Linked DNA regions of Arabidopsis thaliana. The protein of the gene in region 3 binds, or shares a complex with, the protein of the main gene of each other region. Each region holds a gene or a part of one and is shown on either strand. Other genes may lie near its edges.

The links.
Region 1: RPL21C (region 3) and emb2394 share a complex: the UniProt entries of both Arabidopsis thaliana proteins name them as parts of the 50S ribosomal subunit.
Region 2: RPL21C (region 3) and PRPL28 share a complex: the UniProt entries of both Arabidopsis thaliana proteins name them as parts of the 50S ribosomal subunit.
Region 4: RPL21C (region 3) and PSRP6 share a complex: the UniProt entries of both Arabidopsis thaliana proteins name them as parts of the 50S ribosomal subunit.

Annotation. Positions count from the first base shown.
Region 1 is NC_003070.9:1,501,170-1,506,992, forward strand, and holds emb2394 (Ribosomal protein L6 family), read right to left. Parts: upstream 2,685-5,823; 5' UTR 2,570-2,684; coding exon 2,535-2,569; intron 2,093-2,534; coding exon 1,793-2,092; intron 1,683-1,792; coding exon 1,346-1,682; 3' UTR 1,082-1,345; downstream 1-1,081. Other genes in the region: AXR1 (NAD(P)-binding Rossmann-fold superfamily protein), read right to left, coding at 1-161, 256-428, 521-606; GLR3.4 (glutamate receptor 3.4), read left to right, coding at 4,473-4,824, 4,948-5,823. UniProt on the Arabidopsis thaliana protein: This protein binds directly to 23S ribosomal RNA and is located at the aminoacyl-tRNA binding site of the peptidyltransferase center.
Region 2 is NC_003071.7:14,170,921-14,175,952, reverse strand, and holds PRPL28 (Ribosomal L28 family), read right to left. Parts: upstream 2,375-5,032; 5' UTR 2,334-2,374; coding exon 2,135-2,333; intron 1,810-2,134; exon of another isoform or gene 1,806-1,809; coding exon 1,573-1,805; 3' UTR 1,364-1,572; downstream 1-1,363. Other genes in the region: RIC1 (ROP-interactive CRIB motif-containing protein 1), read left to right, coding at 392-449, 556-656, 746-824, 927-1,363; AT2G33435 (RNA-binding (RRM/RBD/RNP motifs) family protein), read right to left, coding at 2,727-3,321, 3,415-3,494, 3,588-3,677, 3,797-3,907, 4,129-4,218, 4,332-4,373.
Region 3 is NC_003070.9:13,206,071-13,211,959, reverse strand, and holds RPL21C (Ribosomal protein L21), read right to left. Parts: upstream 3,278-5,889; 5' UTR 3,184-3,277; coding exon 2,869-3,183; intron 2,559-2,868; coding exon 2,478-2,558; intron 2,245-2,477; coding exon 2,143-2,244; intron 2,035-2,142; coding exon 1,960-2,034; intron 1,804-1,959; coding exon 1,714-1,803; 3' UTR 1,532-1,713; downstream 1-1,531. Other genes in the region: CDPK2 (calcium-dependent protein kinase 2), read right to left, coding at 3,902-4,042, 4,128-4,352, 4,436-4,603, 4,675-4,790, 4,889-5,041, 5,131-5,274. UniProt on the Arabidopsis thaliana protein: This protein binds to 23S ribosomal RNA in the presence of protein L20.
Region 4 is NC_003076.8:5,906,078-5,910,767, reverse strand, and holds PSRP6 (plastid-specific 50S ribosomal protein 6), read right to left. Parts: upstream 3,180-4,690; 5' UTR 3,021-3,179; coding exon 2,631-3,020; 3' UTR 2,304-2,630; downstream 1-2,303. Other genes in the region: CSA1 (disease resistance protein (TIR-NBS-LRR class)), read left to right, coding at 51-941, 1,027-1,696, 1,833-1,894.

The DNA.
Region 1 (5,823 bases), about 12 Mb from region 3:
AGTGGCTATAACGAGAGTGAACTGAGAGAAGAAAGATGGGTTAGTAGTAATCAACGTGTCTGGATTCTCCTCAATAAACTTGGCGTTAACAGAATCATTAAGCTCTTGGAGAAACGCACAAACAGATTTGGCTTTTGATTGGCCAACACTCTTCGCATCGACTTCACATGAAAAAAAAAAATCATCATAACGCAAGCAAGTCCCCCAAAACCCCCAGAAGAAACACAATCAAAAAGTTTCAAAATTAGTCAGTACCCATGAAATTGTTCCCAAGGTCACCAAATTGAACCTTAGATCCATCAACAACGGTGATGCTACCAACACCACCAAGTACGAGATTCTTCAAAGCCTCGGAACCAGTAGGGCCACAATTGAGTAAACAGATACTCGCTTCTTCCAAGGCCGCTTGACCTACCTCCCCCCAAATCCTAATCAGTCAACCCAACGATTACTACTTCATCAATTTTCCTCCCGACAAGAGTAGTTCGAAGTAGAGTTTAAGGAAAAAGAGTATGTATACCTGAGCTGACGATCGTACTTGGTTTTAGGTTCTACCATTGTTGGCTCTTCTTCAACATGTCTCCTGGATCTTTTTACTGCTTGCATCTTCGCAGCTCAAGCGAGAGACGATTTTTGCCTCCGGTGAACTGATAAACAAAAAGACTTTTCTTCAATCAGGGTTTTTGTTTATTTCCGAATATTTTATTGTTTTTAGGAAATTTATCGTTTGAAAAAAGTTATCTACCAAATTAAAAAATCGATATTAATATCTTACTGATTTTTTATATATATAAGCAAATAAGAAAATTTTGTAAATATTTTTTTTAAAAAAAAATTGTGAAAAAGAAGAAGATATAAGCAAATAAGAATAATCACCATGATATTGTTTTTTGTTTTATTTCCGACTATTATTATTCTTATAGGAAATTTTCGTTTTTTAAAAAGTTATCTACCAAATTAAGAATACAGATATTAATATCTTACTGTTACGATTTTTTAGATATAAGAAAATAAGAAAATTTGTAATTAAAAAAAAGAAGAATAGATTAAAAAATTGTTTTAAAAAGTTTATCTACCATGATTTTTGTCCGATTTGGATTGGTTTGGTTCAATAAGGAAACATAACAATAGAATCACACCGATGAGGCACTTTGTGCCCAAGTTCTTGTTCAATCAAAGCACTAAAGAAATTTTTGTCAGAGCATCAAAAACAATTAATGGGTTCCTTTAAAAACTTACTCAAGAATCCCAACACAAACATCTTCATTTCTAAACAAATTTGAGCAAATACACATAAACATTGAAAGGAAGAGATAAGTAAGTAGATAATAATGAAAAATGAAGATCATTTCTTCTTTCCAGCTTTTCCTTCCTTCCTCCGAACTATCTCATCGGAATACTTGACTCCTTTCCCCTTGTATGGCTCTGGTGGCCTCCACTTCCTAACCGTTGCAGCAAACTGCCCGATTTCGCTCTTGTCGTATCCACTCACAGTGATTCTTGTGTTCTCTTCCACTTTCACTTTCAGACTATCCGGTATCTGCATCTTCACCGGGTGTGAAAACCCGAGATTTAGCACCAGCTCCTTTCCGTCTACTGTTGCACGATAACCAACACCCACAAGTATAAGCTTTTTCTCAAATCCCTTTGATACTCCCACAACCATGTTATCGGTAAGCGTCCTAAAAGTCACACAGAAGTTAAAAAAAAAGATTAGAGAACAAACGATCTTTTAACCTCAAAAAAGTTAAGGACTTCATTGGATGACAAGAAAAGATGAGAAGTTTGTAACCTGAAAAGGCCGTGCATTTGGTTGGCTCTTCTAGTTTCGACGGTTTTTTTGACCCTTAAGAAACCGGATTCTTCCTTTGTAAGCTCAACTTCGCGTGGGTAAGTTAAAGCCAGCTCTCCTAATGGACCCTTCACTTTCAAGTCTTGACCTTCCAATGCAATGGTTACATTGGAAGGTACAGCGATCGGTTGCTTTCCTATCCTTGATTCTTTGCACTCAATGGTCTTACTGGAGTAACCCACTTGAGCAAAAGGTGTGCTTGAGACCTTGAACACATTTCTATCTCCCAAAAATGCTGACCTAAAACAAAGGGGAAGTTATCTATCTATCTTCAGATAAAACATGTCAAGAAAGTAAAACTCTACCAGATATATATCTAAACCAATACACAGAAACTGTTATTGGAACAAAGATAACGTTAGATTAAGGAAGAGAAACATTCTTGTAGAACTTTCAGTTTCCATGGCTAAAAACCCCTCTAGAATCCTGCTTTTTACACAGTGAGTTCCGCATAACACATTCAAATTCCCAAAATAAAAATCCACAATTTCAAGAGTCCATAACCAATTCAACATTGCCATCGATTTAAAAAGATAAAAATAACCCATTCAAAGAGATTCCTTATACTTGGGAGGCTCATGAACACAGTTTATAGAGATTTTTGAGTAGAAAATGCCAAGTAAAGAAAACGAAACCCTAGCGGAATGAAGAAGCTCTATGGTTTGTAGTATATGAAAAGTACCTGGGTTGAAAAGATGAGACGAGTGAGGAAGCCATTGATAAGATTTGATGATGGAGCTCTAAGCTCTGCTCCAGAAGGAGGATGAAGAGAAGAAGAAGAGCGTTTTATCCAGAAAAGACTTATCCATCGTCAGCTTCTGTAATCCCCTCTTTCAAATCATTACTTTCACGGCCCATTAGCTCACTATTTTCGGCCCATTACTTTTAACCATCCTTCTGTGGGACAATTCATTATTTGTGTAACCCATTTATCTATATTGATCATGGCCTATTATCTCACTGTTTCTAGGCCCATTATTATAATAACTGTTCACAAAATTTACCCAATGAACGTGGAGTTTGGATTAGATTAATGAAGTCAATAGATTATTAGTAGATGCGTTTGGATCAAAATTGTGCATCTTTCCCGATTAAGTATGTTTTCAAGTCGAATCTTTTAAAGGCATGGATTTTAAACTACTCTTAACAGACAAATTTAAAAATGAAATGGGCCCTTACCCTCAGAAAAATCCAAACAACAAATTGAGAAGATTCAAAGAAAAAAAAGATGAACTGTATATTTATTTTCCTGGTTCACATTTCATTTGGTCAAGATATTCTTGTTCTAAATAAATAAAAAGTTCGATACCGACAAGATATTTGTGGATTCAGTGGCATATTTTATTTTGTGTTAACAATTAACAAATGAAAATTTCAATAAGGAACTATGTAATAACAAATGCAGCTCTTATAAGTTTTTTTTAATAACATTCCTTAATGAACACTCTAAAGACAAAAAATAGTCGACCATGTGTTTCATGCACCTTTTATCATATGAAATCAATAGTACAATTACTTTACTATTTATGTCTGAAAATATCTTTTTCTTTTCTTTTTTTTTTGTGTGAAATTGATTTGACAACCGTTGAGGAGACTTATTCTTTGACGAAGGCGGCCTTGGAGCAATTAGGTCGTCACTCCTCACATTCACATTTTCAATTATTATTTTGCCTCATGTCATACGTAGTTACCCTAATTACCATTTAACTATATCCGTTGTAACCAAAAAGAAAAATGCATCAACTACCTTAATAAATGATAGTTACCAATAAGAGCCAACGTAAAAATTTGATTTATCGAATAGTATGAGGACACAAGTAAAGCATCGATCATACTACCCCACACCTTGGCCTACGTCTTCACTGACCACTCCAGAAATAGCACTCCAAAACAAAATTTACAAAATTTCATAAAATACCAAAAAAATAAGTAATGATAAGGAAGAAAATAGGGAAAAAAAAGGAGAGAGAATATTATGAATTATTCTTTGCTTGAGCTCAGAAACAGTTCTTCTTCTGCTTCTTCGACTTCTTTTCTCTGTCTTTCTTCTTTATGCTTAGTGCTAAATCACTCGTTTACTTGTGAAGATTATGGATCTCTGATTAAAGTTTGTTTCTCGTATTTATTCCAAGGTTGCTTCTTCTTTTTCTCAATTGGATCTTTTAATTTTTGTTTTTCTTTATGTTCTTACATATATAATCTTTAGTTATTTGTTCATTGAATTATTTATTACACTTTTTGCTTCTTTCTCTGCGAACCATCTTTAAGACGGCCCTCTTACACTTCATTATTTTCAGTTCTTACTTGCACATGTAAAGCACCAGTTTCTAGAATCAAAGGGCCTCATATAAATACATTATTTTATACACTATAAATAAATATACAGACACAAAAATCTGTATACACCAATCTCTCTACAGAATCTAACTCCCGATTTCTTGGTTGGTTTTGCCTTCTTTCACCAGATTTCTGGACCATCTTTTTTGTCTTTTGTTATAATCTCAATTTTGATTCAGGTTGGGCATTGTTTATTTCGCAGGTGTTACTCCAAATAAATCAAATGGTTATATGAGACCAGGACAAAGAAAAACTAGTGCTTTTGCTGGAAATTGTGATAAAGATGGGATTTTTGGTGATGATAAGAGAAGTTTCCATGGCGAAAGCAATCAGAGTTGTGTTGTTATGTGTTTCTGTCTTGTGGGTTGTTCCAAAGGAATGTGCTTGTAGAAGTAATTTCTCTAGAAACTCGTCTTCTTCTTCTTCTTCTTCTTTGCGGCCATTAAGACAGAGGCCAAGCTCTGTGAATGTTGGAGCTCTGTTTACTTATGATTCTTTTATCGGAAGAGCGGCTAAACCCGCGGTTAAAGCAGCTATGGATGATGTTAATGCTGACCAAAGTGTTCTTAAGGGCATCAAGCTTAATATCATCTTTCAAGACTCAAATTGCAGTGGATTTATCGGCACCATGGGAGGTATATATACTGCTTCTCCTTCTTCTTCTCTCTTACTACTGTGGCCAACTTTTTAACTCAGAACTAGTTTGTGAAAATGCCCCCAAAGAATGAGTGATGATTATGTTTCATCTTATGGTGTAGCTTTGCAGCTGATGGAAAACAAAGTGGTTGCAGCCATTGGTCCACAATCTTCAGGGATTGCTCACATGATCTCCTATGTAGCTAATGAGCTTCATGTACCTCTCTTGTCATTTGGAGCAACGGATCCGACTCTCTCCTCTCTGCAATTTCCTTATTTCCTCCGCACCACGCAGAATGATTACTTCCAAATGCATGCGATCGCAGATTTTCTATCATATTCCGGATGGAGACAAGTCATTGCGATATTCGTTGATGATGAGTGTGGCAGGAACGGGATATCTGTCCTTGGCGATGTATTAGCCAAGAAACGCTCGAGGATCTCTTACAAGGCTGCAATTACTCCTGGTGCAGATTCTAGCTCCATCAGAGACTTGTTGGTTTCTGTTAATCTGATGGAATCTCGGGTTTTTGTTGTCCATGTGAATCCTGACTCTGGTTTAAACGTTTTTTCTGTGGCTAAATCTCTTGGAATGATGGCAAGTGGTTATGTTTGGATCGCAACAGACTGGCTTCCTACAGCTATGGATTCCATGGAGCACGTGGATTCAGACACGATGGATCTCTTGCAAGGAGTGGTTGCTTTTCGCCACTACACAATCGAGAGTAGTGTCAAAAGACAGTTTATGGCGAGATGGAAGAATCTTAGACCAAATGATGGCTTTAACTCTTATGCGATGTATGCTTATGATTCTGTTTGGTTAGTTGCTCGTGCCCTCGATGTTTTCTTCAGAGAAAACAATAACATAACTTTCTCCAACGATCCAAATCTGCACAAAACAAATGGTAGCACTATTCAGCTATCAGCACTAAGTGTTTTCAATGAAGGAGAGAAGTTTATGAAGATCATTCTTGGGATGAATCATACTGGTGTGACGG
Region 2 (5,032 bases), on a different chromosome or scaffold from region 3:
TTCTAAATTTTTTTATCCTCTGTTAAAACAACAACAAAACTTAGTGCTCTTCCTCTTCTTCTTTTTGGTCTGTTGATCTTTAACCAATAACTCCTCGGAGATCTCTCGATCCTTCTCTCTCTCCCTCCCTCCCTCTCTCTCTCTCTTCAAAACATTTCAACATTTTTTTTTCTCGTCAAGAGAAAATCCATGCGTTCAAGGTTTAAGTCTTCAGATTTCGTTATATTCTCTGTTGTTTTTTTGTTTGTGCCTTACAACTTTTTTCTTGATTTGTTCTTCGTTTTCTTTTTCTGCATGTTAGGTTTACGGTAACGATCGTCAAATCTTGAACCACAAAGGTTGTATCCGGCGTGTGGATACACATTAGCCGGAACCAACCCTTTATAGACCAATGGCGACGACAATGAAGGGTCTTCTTAAGGGCCTTCGTTACATTACTCAGATTTTTGGTGAGTCTCATTCATTTTCCCCATAAACATGAAAAAAATGAAAAATCATTTGTGTTTCTTGTGTCAAAAGTCAAATTACATGGTGGATGTAATTATTCTATTGCAGATGAAGAGAAAGAGCAGGAGATGCAGATAGGATTTCCGACCGATGTAAAGCATGTTGCCCACATTGGCTCCGACGGTCCAACCAACACCACACCAAGCTGGGTAAGATCATACGTACATTTATACGTATTTTCATACATGTCACACGTATCTGTGCTCATTATTGTTTTTTTATGGGACAAAAACTGCAGATGAATGACTTTAAAACTCAAGAACATGAGAAAGGTCAAGTCGTTTCCAGGGGAAATTCCAACAAATACAACCCGCAAGGTTAGTTATTTTTGCAAAGTGTGTTTTTCCTTTTCCCTTAAAGTGTTAAGCTTTGAGGAACAAATCTGGATTGGTTCGAGGAATTGATGTGTATCTCAATAGGGACGAACCAACGTGGAGCCGGGCTAAAAGAGTTACTGCCTTCGAACACAAACGAGAAACCGAAACAGAAAACAAGGCGGAAACCCGGAGGAGCAGCTTCTCCAAATCATAACGGGTCTCCGCCTAGAAAAAGTAGCGGAAATGCTGCATCATCAGATGAACCATCAAAGCATTCAAGACATAACCGAAGCGCACACGGGTCAACAGACTCATCGAATGATCAAGAACCATCAGTTCGCAGAAGGCGTGGTGGTATCCCGGCTCCAGACACAGAAGTTCCTAATCAAATACCTGATGGTTCAGCTCCTCCACGGAAGGCTACATCGCGTCCTAGGAAACTAAAAGGATCATCAGCAGGAGGAGAAGGTTCGATTAAGAAGTCTTCAAAAGGAAAACCCGAGAATTCAGTTGATACAACCTGTAACGATATTATCTGAGAAACATAAACAAAACCATGAAATGTATTATTTGAGCCACCTGCAAGTGAGAGTTTGTTTTCGTTTCTCTTTAAAGTCTTTTCTTGACAGTGTCTGATACAACAACTCAGAGATTCCATTGATACTTACCAAAATCTAGAAAGGAAATGTACGAGTACTGCAAAAGGAGAAGCAAGAAATGTATATAATAAACTTTGCGATCATCATATCTATTTCTTGCGAAGATCAATGCCGGCTTTCTTGGCAACAGCGTCGAGTCCGTTCTTCTCAATGGTCTTCAAAGCCTTAGTTGATAAACGAAGTTTGACAAAACGTTTGCCAGCTTCCCACCAAACTCTCTTGTATTGTAAGTTGACGAATTGCAACTTCTTGGTCTTGTGGTTAGAGAATGAAACTTTGTTTGCTCTGTTTGCTTTCTTCCCAGTAAAAGGGCAGATTCTACCTGACATTTTGGAAAACAAAAACACAGTTTCAAGAAAAAAGGAGCAAATTGCCCAATGCTCAGAATCATATAAATGTGGTCAATTTTGGAGAATTTTTTTAACATAACATCAAATTCAAAGGAAAAGTTTAATACGAGAAATTATGCTACGGGTTTTAAATACACTGCTCATTTTCATATCTAAAAGCAAAGACATAGTTCCAGACAATTCAACACAAGCTTGCTAACTCAGAGATTCGAAATTCGACATGAATAAAACGAAAGCAAGATAAATTTAGTACGCCAATGCATTCGACTAAACCCTAAGAGAAAGGGAAAAGGGGAATTACGTGCGACGATTGGCTGAATCCCGGGGAACGAAGGAAGGGAGATACGGTTGATGACGTCACTGGGAGTATATGAGATTCTTAAGCCGCTGAGCTGGGAGGTGAGGAATCCAAGCTCCTTTGAAGTCACGGTTGACTTGGTCATGGACTTGGCTGATGAGGTCATTCGTAGCCAAGCGCCTTGTGTCGCCATTGTCGTCATTTTTGGTTGCTGTTACTTCTGCTTCGAAGGAGGATTTGGATAAAGAAGGAGATTGGGTTCATTTTATTTATTATTTTGTAGAAAATGAAAGACGCTTTCTCATTCAGAAGGTTACGTTCTCTTTTAACACAACAATTTTTCAGTAAGCAAACCGGTCCATATAGCCACCAACACAATAGTATGGTTTCATCTTTCCCTTCTTGGATTCTCTAATACATAAAAGTAACGAGACACAGGTGGTGATGAATAATCCAACCTGATCAATCCCAACGATTACAAAGAGATTTTTGAAGGGTTTTTGATTGTAGATGCTATGTATCTCTGAACTCGGTTTGAACCGGTTATGTGGTAAAGATGAGAAGAATCACAGAGTCTCACTTGTTGTGGGATTATTTACCCACTTGGGAACCGGATTTGGTAAAGCTCTTTAGAAACATATTCTGCTTTCACAATCCGGTTATCATATAGCCTTCCGTGTAAAGAATGGGCTGCATCACATGTCGCTTCTGGTCTTCTGTACTCAATGAAGATACAACCCGTCTCAAATACATCCTCGGGGTCTTCTTCTTGTTCTTCTTCTATCTTGTCGCCAGCATCCCATCTTGTCTTCACGGTACGCACTGATGCTACTTCTTGTGGATTCTCTGCCTCGGCCTGCGCACTTTCTTCAACAATCTTTTCACAATGCTCTTGTTCAGTGGAGTGTAGATCTTCATTTTCTTGAGTGCTTGTTTCAGCAGCAGTATCCGAGCACGGTTCACATAACTTGTCTTCACCTGTCAAACTGTCTGGCATGACAACCTCTGCAAGATCTACATTGTCTGCAATATCTTCCGCTTTCTCGGATCCTTCATCTTTCTCCTCGATCACTGACACATTCATTTCTTTAGAATCAGTTGATTCTAAGTTCAACAATGGATTTGTTTCAGAAACAGTGATATCTTTGCTCTTGTGTTCCAAGATGTTTATCGACTTAATAACCCCAAACCTGCATCATGACAAGACCCAGAGGCCTATTTTCTTAATTTACTAGCTTTTAAAAGCTCAATGGACTCATGGGAAGATGATCTCAGAGCTTAACCTGGCACATTCTAACCGTACATCCTCCAAAATTTCTTTCACTTCTTGCTCGGAAAACGACGTGAGATCTTCTGGGTCAACCTGTCAAACAAGAAAGAATGGAATGTTAATATAGCCTCACATAGTTTATTTGGGAAAGATTCACAAGAAAAAGGATACACCAATTATGCTTACCACATTTTTTAGCTTTAGAATATTCTTAGGCTTGCCAAGAAGTGGTTTTGCATGGCTAGGTATCCCATAGAATGGTGGATTCTCATTCACCTGCAACACATATTACGTACACACACCACTCTCACAAGTAACTAAAGGAATTTCTGTTCAATGTCACCCATACAAACACAACATGAACTAACGAAAGCAAAGTTGGGTCACTGAATTACCGCTACGGATGATGCATCAGGAAATGCACAAACGGCTGTTATTACACTGCCACCTAACCTCATACCATTTAGACCAGCACAAGCTTTGAGGGTAACAGATCCATCAGTGTACTGAAATATAGAGATTTAAAAAGAGTTAGGGCTGGTTAATATGAATATACTTGGAACTACAGTCACATTCATGGTTACTCTGTAAAAGTTACAAGGTAATAACACCTTCCCATGCTACCCGGAAAATGAAAAATTAAAGATATGAAACAATCACAAGAACTACATCGAGATGGCAGACTAAGATGGGGGTATCTTGGCCACAAATAAAAGTACATTCTAACCTCTAGGAAAGCGCATCGCTGATTGAGATCATTGTTGCTCACGAACCGGTATGCTTTCAAAGGTCCAAAGACGCTGACAATCTCCATAAGCTGGAAAAACGTTAAAGAGGAATCAGACAATCCTAGAAGTTGAAACGATAGAAATGGGGACAATAGAAGATTGAACGTGTCAAATGTTTTCAAAGAATTACAGTTCAGCATACCATTTCAGATGAAATAGCTTTTGAAAATCCGCCAATGAAGATCTGCAACAAGTACACTAGGCTCAATATCAAGCTTGACAGAAAAAGAAATTAGTATAGCAAGCAAATACAGTGAAGCTTTCAACATTATCAACCACAAAGATGCCGTAGCTGCGGAGAGAACTGCACTTCTATTCTCTGCGTGTTTTTCACTTTAAGATTATAATAAGGTGGTCTGACATTTGGCTTTCCAGGTTGAACCACTATGAACAAGCTTTTGATCATAACACCTACTACCAGCCAAACTTACAAAAAAGTTGATCCAGCCACATGTTTTATTCCTTTGTTGTTAACTCTAACAAAATTGATATTCTACTGACAGACAATTAAACGGAAAAGGATATAAAAGCTGTCAGCATGAAAAACATGCAACAAAATTCCAAGATATGCCCCACATCATGAACCATGAATGGAAAGGACCAAGTCAAATTTAGAAATACCGATGTTTTGTCTCTAGAGCAAGAGATTACAAATTACAGTGGTATCGAAACTATGGCACAAACTAAAAATTTGATCTGAACTATAAACCAAGGGTCACTGACATATACAATTACAGTACTTTCAAAAGGGAATACGTTAAGAGATATTTAAAAGACACTCTACACTCATTTTCGATATAAAAAGTTTTACCCACTGTCGTAAGAAGCAAATTTAGGGCAATT
Region 3 (5,889 bases):
AGCTACATCTTATTAAATATCATATACATTATAGTTTACAAAATCATAAATTTATAAATTATAAAATAAATGGAAAAGAATCAACCCGCAGTGAACCTCTTAATAAGTTGGTATCTATAATATTTAGATTCTATAAAATTTTTGTAATATTAATAATATTTGAAATCTAGAAAAAAATTTTTTTTGTATGATAAAAACCATTTGAAATTAAATTACTTTTTTAATTTAATATCATCTATATTAGTTAAGAACGCACGTAATAACGCACCATAAAAAAACATGTATATATTAGTTAAGAAAACTATTTTAAGCCAAATACGTTCATTTTAACAAAAAAAAATATTATATAACAAACACGTAATAACGCACCATAAAAATACACTCCCGATATAATGTGCTTATAATAAACAGATTTTCTTAATTAAACAAGATTAAACCAAACAAATACAAATATAATATCAAAAATAAATAGATATAAAAAGTAAGATGATAAATTCAAAATATAACTTGATTATTTAAATATAGATGATATAGAATTAAAAAAATAATATAATTTCTAACGTAAATAATCAACCCGTGGTATACCGCGGGTCAATATCTAGTTAGTAATAGATAAATTTAGCATTTAGTTGCTTTTAAAGAAATTTAAATAAATTTCTGTAAAAATTAATTAAAAATAGTAGCCAGCATGGAAATTTTTTCATATTTTCATTTGCCAACTGGCTGATAAAAAAGGTTCTGTTAATAAAATTAAGCTGTTTATTTATTTTACTATTTAATAATCATTTCTCAGATTTTAAACCTAGTCTATATAATAACATTATTTTGAAGACTAATATTATATTTAAAAGGACAAGAAAAATATCGAAAATATTATGAAATCTCTGAAATTTAAGTTAGAAAGTAAACTGGAATCTCATAAACTAAATGAATATATATTTTACTCTATTTTAAAGCATATATTTTTAATAGTCAAGTAGTCATTATTTAGTTATTTATAAATTATCTTAACCTATATATTTTTGGTAAAGGGTTTTGTTGCACCAAACTTAAAAAAAAAAAGGTTTGCAAAACTAGTAAACCAAACTCGGACCTAATCAACCACAAGAGTAAGAAAGCAAAAAATTACAACCCAACATGTATATAGCCTTCACATGTTGTGCCACTGAAGTGAAAAGTTACAACCCAACATGTATACAACCAAACTAATAATCGGAGACAATCTATCTTTTGCATATATATAATAAAAAAAACTCATTTCTCAATTCCTCATCAGAAAATCACCATAATACATCTCACACTATTGGTGCACATAATGTCTTTTACTAGAAAATCGCAACAACATATCAAAATTTTGTCAAAAACATATCAAAAAACACCATAATGTCTTTCATGTGTTTGTGCCTTTGCGGACGGAAAAATGTTATGGACGGTCCCGTCCATTTTCAAAATCTCAATATCAATTTCTGTATTTCTGTATTGTGTCCACTGAAGTGGTAGAAGTTGTTTTATTCTATAAAATTCATTAGTATGCGTAGATTGATGGATGAGCTATATTGAAGTTTTCATACACTAACTTAGAATTTGTGATCAAAGAATGGCAAAAGGTACATATTAATAAAAGGAATCTCAGCAGAAATGAAATGACCAGGGTCCTTACAAAATTACATAGAGAAGATCAGAAAAATTTTAACATTCAAGAAACATTTTGTGTCAAAGATTTACTTCTCCAACTGCAACATTGGGCGAGGCTGGATACTCTTCATACCCTGTGATTCCGGTAATCCTAATCCTCGTATTCGGCTACAATATCAACACATAAGTCACAACATAAGTGTCATTACTTCAAAGAGATTTCAGTTTCATCAGCCATAGCAAATTACAACAAGTAACTGATAGTAGTCTGTTGATTGTAACATTACATAGTTCAAATATAAGGAAGAGGACTTTCAGCAATACCTGTCTGTGACCGATATTTCTACGGTACTTCTTCTTAGGCTTGTACTTGAAGACTACCACTTTATCATTCAAACCCTACAACAACAAATGACATTCCGGTTATTCCAAGTTTAGAGGCGACTACATAGTCGAAAATACAAAACCACCAATCAGAAATTTAAGAAATCGTTTGTATTGACTTACTTGACTTTCCACAACAGCATGTACAGTGGCATTGGTCACAACCGGCTTGCCAATGTAAGTGTGTGTCTTTGTTCCAACAAGCAACACTTTGTTGAGAACAATCTGCACAAGAGAAAAAACAAAATATGAAAACTTCAGGAATCACCAAAAATGCAACAGAGAACAGCTTAACACAATGTTAACATAGGCAAAAGAATAGAACTTCTACACAAGCCACAAAGTTTACTCAATCTTCCATAGTTACATCATCTTTTCACAGATATACCATTTCGTACACAGAGTTTTTTACAAAGAAGAACACATCACATAGTCATTGAAAGCAAATGTGCATATACCTGGTCATCAACATTTGCATCTTTTAGCCTCTGAGTGTAGAGATATCTCCCTGGAAACACTATGTATTGGCGTCCACCAACCTATTCAAACCAAAGAGAACAACACTAAGCTAAATCAGAGATTGCAAATGAGAGAAACAAAATCAATTATAACAAAGCCAAACTCTAAACCTTGAAGAGTATATGCCACAAAAACACAATCTCTCCCTTAAGAAGTCAACATTCGTTAAACCTAAACCCTAAATCTTAAGAGTAGATACCACAAAAACACAGTCTCTCATTATCAAAACTCTAAAATCAAATTCATCAATCAACCAAACCTAATTCCGAATTCCAAAAGCTAAACACCGAAATTGAGAATTTGTTGTTTCGTATGATTCAACAAGCTCACCATAATAACAGCGAAAATCTCTTCTCGTTTAGCTTTTTCCTCAGTAACCTCCGAAACATCGGAAACCACCACAGCTTCGATATCGGTAGTCTCCGGTTCAGCTTCGACGACTGATTCCGCGAATTTCGGAGCGACGGTGAATGCGGTTCGAGACGTCGACGCAGTGGAAGGAGAAAGAAATCCAGTCAGAGGTTTAGCCAAATTAAGCGAAGGTTTAGAGAGAGAACAGAGGATAGTGCTAGAACGGCGAGAATTGACATTGCAATGAGCAGAGAAAGTAGAGCAGAGAGAGAGCGTCGCTGAAGAAGACGCCATTGTTTTCGACTGAGAGAGAGCTCTAAGCTCGAGACTTTGGAGCTCGACGGAGAATAAATCCGCAGTGTTATCCTATCCACTTCCTTTGAAAATTACCATTGTACCCCTGTCTTCAAATTGGTTTAATTTCTAAGCTTGCAATTTCGGTTTACCGGTTTATTTCGGTTCAGATTTTGGGTTTTCCAATTAAGTAATATATTATATACACATCAATTTTGGTTTTGTTCGATTTTTGACAAAAATTATAATTCTAACTACTCTTAATCTCTTTATAGTGTTTAGTGTATTTAAATGTACTTTATATTTAATTAGTTATATTAATTCTGAATATTGGTTAATTACAAATTCACCAAATTTGGTTTCAATTTGAGATTTGGTCTGGGTTGTTATAAGAATTTAGATTTGGTTTGGGTTGTTATAAGAATTTTCTACAGTTTCACAGTTTGTATTATAACAAAATTACTTATGAAATCCGATTTTGGTTCGGTTCGGTTTCTTTTCGCCATCCCTAAATCACATTTCTTTGGAATTCAAAAACTTTTATATGAAGCAAAAATTATCCATATGAGGATAAAAATTTAGAAAGTTGCTCATGTACAAAAATAAAAAGGAAAGCAAAAAACAAGCCAGAATATATTTTTGTATCCTTAGAAATTAGAATTCAAAATATAAACGAAATTAAAGAGAAAAAAAACAGAAATTGTGGAAGAATGATGAGTCAGTCATCAGATTTTTCACCATCAACTCCAAAAGCATCAGCAATGTTGAAGTTCAAGTTCTTCATCATGGTTCTGCTTCTCCCAACTCCATCTCCTTTCCTCATCATTGCTGTAAACTCCGAGAAATCGATCTTCCCGTCCTACATAATTCAAAAGCTCTCGGTTATAGTAAAGTAACATTGAAGAAGGAGGTAAACAAAGAGAAGAAGAAGAAGAGTGGTTTACATTGTCAAGATCAATCTCCTTGATCATGTCGTCCAGAGGTGTATCACATAGACCAAACTCTGTGCAAGCTGACTGAAGCTCATCGATGGTGATATAACCGCTTCCGTCTTTGTCAAAGTACGAAAATGCAGCCACCAGATTCTCCTCTCTCTCCATCTTGTTCATGTGTAAGGTTGCTGCTAGGAATTCTCCGTAGTCTATTGTACCACTGTTGTCGATATCAGCCTGTGACCACAACACACAGAGGATGTTAAACGGAAACAAAAGTTTTTGAAAAGAGGAAAGAGTTTGTTTTGGTTCTTTCATACCGCATCCATGAGAGACTTGATTTCTGATTCCATCAGTTCAGATCCGACTCTCTTCAAACCCGCTTTGAGCTCTTCAAAAGTAATCGTTCCGCTGTTGTCTGTGTCTATCATCTTGAACAATTCCTTCAGACCTCCAATTTCTTCCTCTGAAAGTCTCTCAGCAATTACCTGTGTTCAGAGAAATCAGCATACGGATTGGACATAAAGAAAAAGCGAATGTATATTACTCGAATTCATACCCGTAATGCCATTTTCTTAATCTTATTCATTTGAGAAAACTGCTTTAGACGAGATAAGACTGCTGGATCAAGAGGCTTGTCTGGTGCTGCTTGTTCATCGACAATCCATGGGTGACCTATATAACATTCAGAGCAAACTCAATACTCATTATTTACCATAAAAACAATTCACAACAGTTGCTAATTCCAAATGAACAACAAAGAATGAACATACACAAGGCTTCATGAGCAGAAATGCGTTTCTTGGGGCTCCTTTCGAGCATTTTATAGATCAAATCTTTAGCAGCTTCTGAGATAGTAGGCCACGGGTCAGATTTGAAATCTAACTTCCCTTGCAATATCTGTCTAAAGATTCCAGACTCAGTCTCTGCAATGCCCAAGAGAAAAGAATACATCATTCAAACAAAAACTCGAAACTTGTAAATAGAAAAGACTCTACTTTTTTAGTAGACTAACCTGCCCAGAAGGGAGGAACACCGCTGAGTAAAATGTAGAGGATAACACCAGCACTCCACACATCTATTTCAGGTCCATAACATTTCTTTAGCACCTCTGGTGCAACATAGTACGGACTTCCAACTACGTCATATAAATATTGTCCTGAAGAAGCAAACAAAAACCAATTAGCCGATAAACTGGCATTAATGAGAAGGTTCAAGCCAGACACACAAATGCAGAATAATTTCGATCTACACATTAAGTTTCAGAGACTCCTCAATGACGAACATCTATACACATTAATTTCGATCAATACAATGTTCCCTCTAAGAAGGTAACAAATTTGAATCCAACCAAACAGATCATCAAACCTATACATACCGAAAACCTTATTTCGATTTGCAATCCATATAAAACACAACAAACCTGTTTCTATCAAGAAACCACTTTGTTTCAATTTTCGATTCATAGAAAACACAAATAACCTGATTCTACAAGAAACCAAACCAAAGACTTAATCAAATGCAGAATAGTTCCAATCCACACATTCAAAGACTCCTCAATGAGTAACAACTAACCAAAGCAAGCTCCCTAACTACACCTTATAGACATTGTCCTGAAGAGTAAACTAAAACCAATTAGGCGATGAACCACCAACAATAAGGTTTCAAAGAATCACAGATACAAGCCAAAATACACAAATGCAGAATCATTCCAATCAACACATAAACTTTCAAAGACTCAATGAAGATACAAAGCAAAATTCCCTTAAGCAAC
Region 4 (4,690 bases), on a different chromosome or scaffold from region 3:
ACTTAGGGTGTTGTCTGACTCTTTGTAATGATTGTTGTTCATTGCCCCAGGATGCACCAAAATTAAAATGGGTAAACTTAAATCACTCAAAGAAGTTGAACACTTTGGCAGGGTTAGGAAAAGCTCAAAATCTTCAAGAGCTAAATCTTGAAGGTTGCACGGCATTGAAAGAGATGCATGTGGATATGGAAAATATGAAGTTTCTTGTTTTCTTGAACCTGAGAGGATGCACAAGTCTCAAGTCTCTTCCAGAGATTCAGTTGATCTCTTTGAAAACTCTCATCCTCAGTGGCTGCTCAAAATTTAAAACCTTTCAGGTTATTTCAGATAAGCTGGAAGCACTATACTTGGATGGAACTGCAATAAAGGAACTTCCTTGTGACATTGGGAGACTCCAAAGACTTGTTATGTTGAACATGAAAGGCTGCAAGAAGCTGAAAAGGCTCCCTGACAGTCTTGGTCAGCTGAAAGCTCTTGAAGAACTTATCCTCTCTGGTTGTTCAAAGCTCAATGAGTTTCCAGAAACTTGGGGAAACATGAGCCGCTTAGAGATCTTGCTTCTGGATGAGACAGCTATAAAAGATATGCCGAAGATACTCTCCGTGCGTCGTTTATGCTTAAACAAGAATGAAAAGATCAGCCGCCTTCCAGATCTCCTCAATAAATTTTCTCAACTTCAATGGCTTCATTTGAAGTATTGTAAGAATCTTACACATGTTCCACAGCTTCCACCAAATCTTCAGTATTTAAACGTTCATGGTTGTAGCTCACTGAAGACAGTTGCAAAACCGCTGGTATGTTCTATACCGATGAAGCATGTCAATTCCTCGTTCATTTTCACTAACTGCAATGAATTGGAACAAGCTGCAAAGGAGGAAATTGTAGTATATGCTGAAAGGAAGTGTCATTTGCTTGCTAGTGCGCTTAAACGATGCGATGAGGTATCTCTATTCCTCTCCCTTGAGAGTTTTCTTTTGCGTAGTGGAATTGAGGTTAATGGTATATCCCCTTTGTATAACTTTGCAGAGTTGTGTTCCTGAGATTTTGTTCTGCACTAGCTTTCCTGGATGTGAAATGCCTTCATGGTTTAGTCACGATGCAATTGGATCTATGGTGGAGTTTGAATTACCTCCTCACTGGAATCACAATAGGCTTTCTGGGATAGCCCTATGTGTTGTTGTCTCATTCAAGAACTGTAAAAGTCATGCCAACTTGATAGTCAAGTTCTCTTGTGAGCAAAATAACGGAGAGGGCTCTTCCAGCAGCATTACTTGGAAGGTTGGAAGTTTGATTGAACAAGACAACCAAGAAGAAACAGTTGAATCAGATCATGTCTTTATTGGCTACACCAACTGCTTAGACTTCATAAAACTTGTTAAAGGCCAAGGTGGTCCTAAATGTGCTCCGACCAAAGCATCCCTTGAGTTTAGTGTGAGAACTGGTACTGGTGGGGAAGCTACGCTTGAAGTTTTGAAATCCGGTTTCAGTTTTGTGTTTGAACCTGAAGAGAACAGAGTTCCATCCCCAAGGAATGATGATGTAAAAGGTAAAGTAAAAATCAACAAAACTCCAAGTGCTAATGGTTGTTTCAAGGATCAAGCAAAAGGTAATGAATCTCCAAAGGGCCAGTGGCAGACTTACATTGAAAACTCTAGCACTAACATCCCAAGTGAAGCTCATTCTTCCCAAAAAACTGGTTTTGGTTCCACTCTTTTGTGTTAAACTCATAGATTGCCTCTGTTTTCACACTATTTATTCTTTCGAACTCTCTGTATTTGTATCTTCATTGTGTATTTCTCCAGATGATTTGACTTAAGCTTTTAAGGTGTCAGGGTTTAATGGGTTCAACGGGATGTACTCTGTATGCGTGCTTTATGAAATGTATAGCCATTGATGTTGATCTTGGAATTGACTCCATAAACATGCAATGCAAGATAAATCGATCTTCTAAATTTCTCCTGGGACTAGACCGATACAAGATAGATTCAAGAATCAGAGTGATCAACCCATAACTGATATAAACATTTCTAAAAATGTTTTTGCTGAAACTCTTCATCAAACACACTTTAGATCACTTGGCTTAAAAATCTACAATAGAGTGTTTAGACCAAGTGTTGCACTATGGTGAGCAGAGCACATTGCCGTTTCACCTGAATCCAATCTAAAGGGAAATTTTAAAATTCCAATAATGCGGTATACTATACCGTACTCTTTAGAAGCTACATTCCCATTGCTATGGCAGCAAACAGAGCATTTGACAACAACTCCAGCATCAACCGCCACAAAACAGATACCATTGTGCTTTCATTTTCACATATCAAACTTAAACTCTTGTCATCCCAATTCAATTACTACTTGCAGAAATTAATGAGACCCAAAAGGAAAAAAGCAATTATAGAGAAGCAACATAGATGACAATGACGAGAGCTATAAACTATAAAGTTGAGACCTTTAAACTCAAAAACAGAGGAGAAAGGTTGAAGCTTTATAAATCGCAAATTTGGTCCATTCATTCACCAATCAAACACAAACAAACCCAACAACAAACATCAGAAAACTGAAAACACAGTAAACAACAACAAAAGTTCTCAAACTAGATTACAACCAAATCAGCAGATAACTCATACCAACTAGGCAGCGCCTGAAACCAAATCTCCCGCAGCAGTGGCAGCACCACCGTCGTCAGAAGCGAGAGTGAACGGACTCCATTCCGCCGGAAGAGGAGGAAGAGGAGCGTAAACAGTAGGCTTTCTCTTAATGTCCCAAGGCTGAGTCTTCTTCGGCCTCGTCTTCCTGTGATGAGCCGTCGATTTCTTCTGTGGCCTCGACGAACACTCTATCACCATCCCTAATCCTCCTCCATTACCCAATTTTGGAACTTGAAATTGGCGGAGAACCGGAGAAGCAGCAACGGTGACGATTCCGGTACCAAAGATCGCTGACACAGACATGGTTTCCTTATCTTTGTGCAAGTGAAAGTGAGTTTGAGCCTCTTGCTTCGGATTAGAGAAGAACTTCATATCTTCGTTTTCGTTTTTCCTGGGCTTTTTTATTGGGCCTTTGAGGTGTCTATTGGGCCTTTGTATATAGTTATGTAACTCGTTATGCTGCAAGCCTGCAGGCTGCAACAATCTATAAGATAAGAAGAGAACAAAAATTAAATTATTAGTGGCATCGAACTTTTTGTTGCTTAAACGTATCGAACTGTATAACCTCGTTAATTAAAGGAATTTAAGAATAGAGTAGCTGATTAAAAATGTATATTTTGCAATTTGTAAAGATGTCATGTATGATGTATACAGAGTTTTAAATGTTTTCTTTAACCTTAAACCAATAATGCTACAAGTGACTACGAGATAAGGTCTTTTGAATCACTTCTACAATAAAATACATTATTTCGGATTCTGCATCTTTTAATACTACACAAAAAAATACTTTTTTTATTAGTTTGAGTTTTAGGATTTATTTATATTCAAAGTATGCTTATTAAATTAATAAATTTGAATTTTCTTAACTTTGTTGTGTAATTTTTTTTTTCTTTTTTTTATAAACAAGACACGATTCATAGTCAATCCTTATTATGCGAAGTAACACGACTTAGTAGAGTCAAACTCTGGTAAAAAAGGTAGAATCAAATGGATTTAACTACTTAACTAAAAACATATTCTCATTTATGGTGTAATTTAGTTATCGAATTTGAGGAAGAAAACTAACTTTTTGTTTCAAAAAAAACACTATAAAAATGTTTATGTTATCATTGCTTCCTCTCTTTTAAAAAAGAAAATAAAATTAAGCTAGCGAACATTTATGTGAACTGACATTCGAAGACATCCATTCTAGTGGCTTTTAGGGTTTTTCAATGCTGCCAAAGCGACCAATAAATATATTTGTCCAAAACCTGTCTAATACTTATGGTTAATAATGTATTATACCTCAATAACAAGCCTAAGTTAGGCTTCAAACTAGCTACTATCACCAACCTAACCAATTTCACATTATATCAAAATAATCAATTGTCAGCGAAAATTGCGATTGCCATGAAAATTACTCTTCTTTACGTAGACTCAAAAACATTTACTAAAATTATGGCCCAAAATAAGATTACTTTCTTCTACGTGACTAGCATTATCCAATACATTCACCAAATCCACGTGCATCGGATTATCACCCCTTATTTTGTTGTCGACAAATTTGATTCTTTGGGTTCTTTATTTACAATAATAGTACTACGTATCTCTATATCAACAGCTCAGCCACTCGATTACACTAGTACGAAGAGATTCTGTTGGTTAGATCAAATTAGGTATCACAAACCTACGGTACCCATTGTTGCATTAGTATATAGTTTCGCAAACCTTATCCTTATCTTAGCACCGTTGAAATTATAACCGCGAGATAACACTTATCTGACTCTTTTTTTTCTAATCCCACTTATATATCAATCAATTTCATTCATTTTTAGAATCACGAAATTTGATTATTTGTCTTAAGTACGAGTCATCAACCATGGATAGTTAAATAGTTTTTTTTTTTTTAACATCTTGTTTTATTTTATTAGAATTGAAAGAAAGATTACATAGTTATTAGACACACACATATAACCAAAAGATGATTTAAGTTTAAGAAGAAGATACAATCGAACAAGTGAATTAAACAAATTAAATAGTTATACACGATATAACACATACAT